2 linked regions of the Rattus norvegicus genome follow. The protein of the gene in region 1 purifies or fractionates together with the protein of each later gene. This does not show direct contact. Links are inferred from orthologs where the notes say so. Each region holds a gene or a part of one and is shown in the gene's direction. Other genes may lie near its edges.

Region 1 (3,861 bases):
GTTTTCTCTTGGTAGGTTATTTACTTTCCAAGGTAGAAGAGAAAGTTGGCTCTCCGGAACGCCCACTGTCAGACCTGGGGCTTATAAGCTACCGCAGCTACTGGAAGGAAGTACTGCTCCGGTACCTGCACAACTTCCAGGGCAAGGAGATCTCCATCAAAGGTAGGTTGCATTCCTTGACTGTGGCCCCCATTCTGTTTAATCCGACCGTGGCTAGGGAGCATTCCAGAGACCGCCGCTGCAGGGCTGAAGATCCCAGAACATCTGTCCTGGGAATGGTTCTAAAGTGTTTTCTCCTGTCTGGAGTTGTTAGCACTTAATTCATATAAGAGAAAGACCTGGAGAGATGGCTCAGTGGTTAAGAGCACTGGCTCTTCTTCCAGAGAAACTGAGTTCAATTCATAGCACCACTATTATGGCCCACAACACATGGAACTCCAGTTCCAGGAACACACAGGTTCATAGACATACATCCAGGCAAAACACCCATCCACATAAAATAGACATGCATACAGACACAAGCATATATGTCATTTGTTTGCTTGTTTTTCGAGTCAGGGTTTCTCTTTGTACCCCTAGCTATCCTGGAATTCACTGTGTAGAGCAGACCCGCCTGCTCTGCTTCCTAAGTGCTGGGACTGAAGAGGTGTGCCACTATGTCCAGCACCTCATTGCTTTTGAAAATCAAGATATCATTCAGCATTCTGAAACATGTGAATTTTAGGAAAGACATCTTCCCTTTAGGATGAATTTAGGGGTTTCATATTTGACCTTGATTTCTAAGGGGTCAAAAGTAGCTTCTTAACCATTAAATGGTTTTTTGAAGTTACTTGGGCTGGTGAAACATTTGAACAGGTTGACCCAAGTAACACAGATTTGGACTCTGGGAAACTCCATGTAAGGGGGCCTTGGGAGACATGGGGTGTGGGAGTCTGCTCCCAGTGGGATCTCAGTGGCTCCTCTGTTACAGAAATTAGCCAGGAAACAGCTGTGAATCCCGTGGACATTGTCAGCACTCTGCAAGCCCTTCAGATGCTCAAGTATTGGAAAGGGAAGCACCTAGTTTTAAAGAGACAGGTGAGATTTTCCTCAGCTGCCTGTGGTGTCCTTAAAGTACAGGGGCCGCGCTACCCACAGTTACCTTCCCTTCGAGGGCTTAGCTGGAAGCTCCTCCTAGCCTTCTTCCAGCTGGCAGCAAGGTCCACAGGGCCTTTGTTGCTAAGCTTATCTCCCTGCTTGTCCTTATCAGAGCTTTTGGTAAGCTCTGTCAGATCTGGATGACACAAGCTAAGCGGCTTTGTGTGGCTTTACACTTAGGCCCATCTCTTCAAGTCCTCCTGAGTTCTAGGACTGTTGTTATGTGGAATGCCACTTCAGCTTAGGTCCAGTCTGACTTGTTAGTTATCTACACATCATAAGCATAAATCAATAATAATGATTTCCAGTTCTCATTGAAGGCAGAATAGGAATAAAGAGGAAACTTTGCAAATCAAAAGATAATATCATCTTGTACCCTAATATATCATTAGGACTTGGGTGAATCTGTTGCTAGTCATTTTAAAGCGTATTAGTTCCGTGTGTATAATAGTCGCTTCCTTATTCTTCACAGGACCTGATAGATGAATGGATCGCCAAAGAGGCCAAAAGGTCCAACTCCAACAAAACCATGGATCCAAGCTGCTTAAAATGGACCCCTCCCAAGGGCACTTAAAGTGACCTGTCATTCTGAGCCAGCGAGCCCCAGCAGTAGAAATCCGTACCCTAGGGATCTGTCTGTCATTTCTGTTGCTCTTGTGATTGGCAAGTATAGTATCCTCTGGGAAGGCCACCCCCTCAGCACTGTTCTGGCTCCAACCTGCGTGTACACTGCAGACACTGGTTCTGAGGAACTGTTGTTTCGGCCTCAGTGAGGTTGCCTGGATGGATCTGTATTAGGCTCGAGTACAGATCCCTCGTAGCACTGACCCAAGGAGTTGTGTTATGGTACTGTACCTGTCCAGTCACTGGTCCCCTCTTCATGCTCTTTAACCCCGTGAAGTTTGTTGTGTCCTGACCTTTGTGCTAGTGCTTTTTCCTGCCTGGTTACCAGACCTCCAAACATGGTTGCCACCAAAGGGCCCTTTCCAGTTAGTCCTCACACATTCTTCATGAAGGGGTGGGCAAGAGGCAGTGCCTGTGAGTGTCTGTGTGTCTGCTGGGAGGGTCCGCTCACCCTGCATTTCATCTCACAGTCACTTATTTTTCTCCCTTTTTGTCAAAAGACTTAACTTTGATCAGGGTCAGGCTGACCCAGAGCTAGGAACGCCTGACAATTCCCAGGGGTTCACAGGCCCTGGTCCATCTGAGTGAGTCGGTGAAGTTTAAGAGGTGGTGATCCTGTGTTTTCCTTTGTATTTACTTATGGGCACTGGGGCAGCATCTTGCTGGTGGAAATGAATGGGTAATTTTTTCCACAGCAGAAATGCCCCACTTTTTTTCTGCCCCCTTTTATGTTGGCAGTTGCCAAAATATTTTAACAATCTTTTTTCATGCCACATCAAGTGATCCCGCTGTGGGTCTTTCCACACTGCCTTCGCCAGCCTGGTGTGGGGCAGCTGTACTTTCCATGTAAGTTGCACTGATTTTGTCCAGAGCTTCCTGGGAGAAGTGGAAAATGTTTGAAATGACTTGTGTTTCTCAGCCCGTGACTCAGCAAGACAGAGTGGCCGCACTGCTACGGTTCGCTTCCCTTTCCAACAGTGCCTCCCCCAGCAGGCTGAAGTGCTTCTGTCTAAGAACTAACTCATTTCCCTTTCGGGACTTGCCACCATCATCCTGTTCTCTGGGTTCCTATTTTTGGTGGTGTTGAGTGAAGGAAGAAATGTCCCCTCTAATTTCTCCCTGTCCCAGTATATAACCTGCTATCTTGGGGCAGCTTTTGATGTCTGACATGTCACCCTTCCCAACTTGTCTCCTCCAGCACTGCTGTCTTCACGTGGCACCCTCTCACCACAACCCTAACTCTGGTCATTTGTGCCTTTCTCTTGTCATCTCTGTACACTACTAATATTCACTGTGGGTTGGAGGGAGCTGATTTTAAGCATGTTCAGTGGCGGCTCCCCTCCAGTTTCAGTGTAACTGTTAAAATGTATCCAAAAGCCGCTTCCTGGGGGTTTTCTTAAGGGTAAAGGCCTTTCACGGATGCTGAGCCCTTCCCCACACGTGGTAGAATGTGCTCTTCTGTATCTACTCAATAAAGCATGTTCTCTGCTCATGTCTGATTAGTCTGAGGCTTGTTTATTTGTGAAATGGTATGCTTGACCTGGAGTTGGTGACTCTGAAGTGTTAGCAGTGGGGTTTGTAGCTGTGGAGTGTTTTCCCCTGTGCAGCAGTTGTTGACAGTGTTTTCTCTGCTCAGAAGTGGTAGAACAAATGCAGTCTGCCTCCCCTGGCTCCAGGAAGTAGTTATGCACAACAGTAACTAGTTAGTATAACCCACTCTTTCATTCATCTGCCTCTGGTTTGGGGTCAAGGAACCAATGGAAAGTTAAGGTAGGCTGGGGAGTCCATGGATGCCTGTAGGAGGCAGAGACAAGTAAGTGTATTCCTTTCCTCCAAGCATGTTCACTGGGAGCAAGTCGAGCTGTGTCTAATCATTATGCAACCTAGATTATGCCCCTGGAAATAGCTGCATTCTTTGCTTGTGTTTGCTCAGGCAGGAGCAGGGAGGTTGGGCATTGCCATCTGTGGTGGAAAGGGAGCTGTGTCTGCTCACTGGCAAGGCCTCTTATTGGAGTTGGAAAATGCAATGGAGAAAAATAACCTCCCTTCTATTGATCTCAGAACAGGGTTTGTTCAAGTCTCTGTGTTGTAAACATTTGC
Region 2 (4,444 bases), on another chromosome or scaffold:
TATCAGTTTTTAATCTCTTTCTCCCAGGGGAGAAAGAGAAAAAGGTAAAAGGAGGGAGACGCCATGGGTTAGGAGTCAAGAAAGCACAGCCCCGGGGTTGGGGATTTAGCTCAGTGGTAGAGCGCTTGCCTAGCAAGCACAAGGCCCTGGGTTCAGTCCCCAGCTCCGAAAAAAAGAAAAAAGAAAAAAAAAGAAAGAAAGAAAGAAAGAAAGAAAGAAAGCATAGCCCCAGGGGTGGCAATTAAAGTTAAGAGCAGCCCAGATAAAACATAGTAATAACTTGAGGTTGTTGATTAAAAAATAGATTTTAACAACATAGAGGGTAGATATCTGCTGAGCTCCAGTGCTAACTACGGCTTATTGTAAATAACGTGTGCATTTTACCCAAAAACCAAATGATCAAAGGCGGGGTAGAAACCCCAAACTGAACTTAAGTAAGCCCTACAACAGTTGGGACAGAGACACGTAGCTCTGGGTGTTCATTGACCAGCCAATCTAACTGAACCCCAAACTCCAGATTCAGCAAGAGATTTCATCCCAAACAAAATGAGGTGGCTCATGATTGAGGAAGACACCTGACGTAAGTTTCTGGCTTCCACGTGCAGACATACGCATACACACACAAACACAGAAGTATGTGGTTTCAGTCACCTAGCACTTGCGAGGGCTCGCTTTTCTAGGCATCTTTTCAGACACTTCCCAGGGAATAAGATAGATAACTCCTTCCTCTGTGTAGTTCACATTCAGCTAGAAGTAGAGTAACAAGCATGGTAAACTGGTAAATTACGTAGCTTAGAAGATGGTGTTACCAAAAACTAAAATAGGAAATAGGATGAACAGCCCATTGCTGGGTGAGGTAAGGGATTTGCTGTTGTTTTCCTCCCAAGATAGGGTTTCTCTGTGTAGCCCTGGGTGTTCTGGACTCCGTTTTGTAGACCAGGCTGGCCTGGAACTTAGAGATCTACTTGCCTCTTGAGAGCTAGGATTTAAAGGTGTACACCACCACTGCCCAACTGAGATTTGCAATTTTAAAGTGACCAGAGAAAACGTTTCACCGATGTGATGCTTGTAAAGAGATTTAAGAGTGAGAGGCCTTTAAATCAGCAGTTCTCAACCTGTGGGTCTTGACCCCTTTGGCAGGGGTCAAACCACTGTTTTCATAGGGATCGTCTAAGACCATTGGAAAACAGATATTTACATTACGACTCATAACAATAGCAAGATTACAGTTATGAAATAGTAATGAAAATAACTGTGTTTGGGGGAGGGGTCACCACAACATGCGGAACTGCATTCCAGGGCCGCAGTGTTAAGAAAGTTGAGAACCACTGCTTTAGAGGGGTATTGTTTAGACAGGAAACAGACCTTTTGGTGTCCATTTGAATGGATGGAGGGTGAATGAGTGCATGCAGCAAGGGACATCCAGCTCACACTCCCGTGGCCTTCTCTCCTTAGGCCTGTCTTCGTCCTTTCCAGTTGCCATGAGGAAGCCTCGCCGAAAGTCACGGCAGAATGCCGAGGGCCGGAGATCCCCATCCCCATACAGTCTTAAATGCTCACCCACACGGGAGACCTTGACCTACGCCCAAGCCCAGAGGATCGTGGAAGTCGATATGGACGGCCGCCTGCACCGTATCAGCATTTATGACCCGCTTAAGATCATCACCGAGGATGAGCTGACGGCTCAGGATATCACCGAATGCAACAGCAACAAGGAGAACAGCGAGCAGCCCCAGTTCCCCGCCAAGTCCAAGAAACCCTCATCCAAGGGCAAGAAGAAGGAGTCCTGTTCCAAGCATGCACCCGGCACGTCCTTCCACCTCCCGCAGCCCAGCTTTCGAGTGGTGGACACAGGGAGCCAGCCGGAAGCACCCCCATTGCCCGCTGCTTACTACCGCTACATCGAGAAGCCTCCGGAAGATCTGGACGCAGAGGTGGAGTATGACATGGACGAGGAGGACATGGCCTGGCTCGACATGGTCAATGAGAAGCGCCGAGCAGACGGGCACAGCTCCGTGTCGGCGGACACCTTCGAGCTGCTGGTGGACCGGCTTGAGAAGGAGTCGTACCTGGAGAGCCGCAGCAGTGGGGCTCAGCAGTCACTGATCGACGAGGACGCCTTCTGCTGCGTGTGCCTGGATGATGAGTGCCACAACAGCAACGTCATCCTCTTCTGCGACATCTGCAACTTAGCTGTGCACCAGGAGTGCTACGGCGTTCCCTACATCCCAGAGGGCCAGTGGCTCTGCCGCTGCTGCCTGCAGTCTCCCTCTCGGCCTGTGGATTGTGTCCTGTGCCCCAATAAAGGGGGGGCCTTCAAACAGACCAGTGATGGCCACTGGGCCCATGTAGTCTGCGCCATCTGGATCCCTGAAGTCTGCTTCGCCAATACGGTGTTCCTGGAGCCCATTGAGGGCATCGACAGCATCCCGCCTGCCCGCTGGAAGCTAACCTGCTACATCTGCAAGCAGAAGGGGCTGGGCGCGGCCATCCAGTGCCATAAAGTGAACTGCTACACCGCCTTCCACGTGACGTGCGCGCAGCGGGCCGGGCTGTTCATGAAGATTGAACCCATGAGAGAAACCAGTCTCAATGGCACCATCTTTACCGTGCGCAAGACCGCCTACTGCGAGGCCCACTCCCCAAGTGTTGCCACTGCCAGGAGGAAGGGTGACTCACCGAGGAGCCTCAGTGAAGTCGGGGATGAGGATGGGCTGAAAGAGGGTGGTGGGGAGGAGGAACAGGAAGAAGGAGAGGAGGAGGGCCAGGAAGGCCAAGGTGGGGTGGGCAGCCCCCTCAAGGGGGTGTCCAAGAAGAGTAAGATGACTTCAAAGCAGAAGATCAAGAAGGAGCTGGAGGAAGCTGGCCGAGAGACACCCTCCATCACTGTCCCCATGGTCACTGTCCCACAGATACCCTCTTACAGGTGAGCCTCATGAGACAGTCTCTTGCGGGACTCTTGGTTTGTTCTTCACAGTAGCCCAGGTCTTCGCCAACACCGTGGCTGGATGCCTGGTCTCCTCTGTGTTCCCTGATGGGCCTGTCACTAACTGACGGGTTCTGTCCGTGCCCTCGAAGCAATGTGCTTCCTTTGGTTCAGAGTGACATAAACCCTGGTGACAGTGTAAGTGACGTGGTAGCTTTCACAGTGACACTGAGTGACATTGTGGACAGGGTAAATCCTCACTGTTAACTGTCCCGGGGATCGCTATATGGTTATCATCTCTGGTCTTTGCAGAGATGATTAGTATGTGCAGGCTGTGTCCTTAAACTCATCTCTGTGACAACTCCAAGGGCTCTCACGCAGGCTCCCCAAAACTCAATTCCAAGTGAGGAGCCCTAAGTGTGTAACACCTGCCTTCTGAAAATCTCTCATCCGGGAAAGACTGGGAACTTGTTTATGAGGGATGTGTGTGGGTGGGGCAGTCCTCCTCTTGAGAAGCTTTACATTTTGGGGAAAATAGAGCTTTATAACCAAGCCTCCCGGCCCCGTCCTCAGAGAGAGCACTGCACCTGTGTTAAACTATCTGTTCAGTAGCTGGGGATGCTGGTGGGTTCCAGCAGAGCCCACCTCAAGGCTGATTCCTTTAAAACATATACAGTAGAAGCTGGGTGTGGTGGTATACACCTTTAACCCCAGCACTTGGGAGGCAGAGTCAGGTGAATTTCTGGAAGTTCAAGTCTAGCCTGCTGTAAGTCATGAGTTCTAGGCCAGTAAGGGCTGCACAGCAAGCCCATGTTCAGAAAAAAAAAAAGGAAAGGAGACAAGCTGTAGAGGAGGAGGGAATCTCGGAGACTATTCATCTAATGTAGTCCTTGCACCTTCTCCCACATTCCCAGATGAAGAAACCACAGCCACGGGAGGTAAAGTTGTTCTCTCCTTTGTTCGTTCAATGAGGTATTTATTGAGCACTTACTACATGCCACATCCTGTTCTAAGGGGTGGGATCAGGTGGGAAAGGTCAGGCGCTGGGCTGTAGGCGCTAGGCTGTCTTGAGTAGAAGGCTATGATAAAGGAGCATCTGGCAGGGTGCAGGAAATTGGCACTAGGAGAGGAACAGGCAGCCAGACCTGCCATGCTGGGAAGGTACCAGAACAAGATCAGGACAGGGAGGCTCTTATTTTGAGAACTTCAGCAACTCTGTGTCTTCCAGGCACAGAGATGGTCTTGGTTACCTCTTTCTTGAAGTAACTGGGTCAGTGCTCGGTCCCCATTTGTAGGGTGACCGTGCCCTGGGGCTAGCTTTTGGTTGTCATGGCTGTTTGAGGTGCCTTTCCCAGGAGCCAGATTTGCCGGCTAAGAAGAAACACACATGAATACTTGTGTGCCCTTTGGTAAGTTACCCAATTAATGGCTCTAAGCCCGGTTTTGTGAGCAAACTCACCAGATAGAGTTGGGAGAAATCTGAGTCAAATCCTTAGCACAGACCTGGCAGGTAGTAAG

Evidence for each region.
Region 2: the proteins of Kat7 (region 1) and Brpf3 purify together in Homo sapiens (affinity purification with mass spectrometry; 3 studies listed by BioGRID and IntAct, counting the BioPlex papers as one, with this or other methods). This does not show direct contact. The link is inferred for Rattus norvegicus from reciprocal best matches to the Homo sapiens genes KAT7 and BRPF3.

The regions. Positions count from the first base shown.
Region 1 is NC_086028.1:80,717,731-80,721,591, reverse strand, and holds the end of Kat7 (histone acetyltransferase KAT7), read left to right. Parts: intron 1-15; coding exon 16-162; intron 163-970; coding exon 971-1,077; intron 1,078-1,609; coding exon 1,610-1,711; 3' UTR 1,712-3,257; downstream 3,258-3,861. UniProt on the Homo sapiens protein: Catalytic subunit of histone acetyltransferase HBO1 complexes, which specifically mediate acetylation of histone H3 at 'Lys-14' (H3K14ac), thereby regulating various processes, such as gene transcription, protein ubiquitination, immune regulation, stem cell pluripotent and self-renewal maintenance and embryonic development.
Region 2 is NC_086038.1:6,871,131-6,875,574, forward strand, and holds the start of Brpf3 (bromodomain and PHD finger-containing protein 3), read left to right. Parts: upstream 1-1,454; 5' UTR 1,455-1,455; coding exon of another isoform or gene 1,456-1,481; coding exon 1,482-2,926; intron 2,927-3,840; exon of another isoform or gene 3,841-3,864; intron 3,865-4,444. UniProt on the Homo sapiens protein: Scaffold subunit of various histone acetyltransferase (HAT) complexes, such as the MOZ/MORF and HBO1 complexes, which have a histone H3 acetyltransferase activity.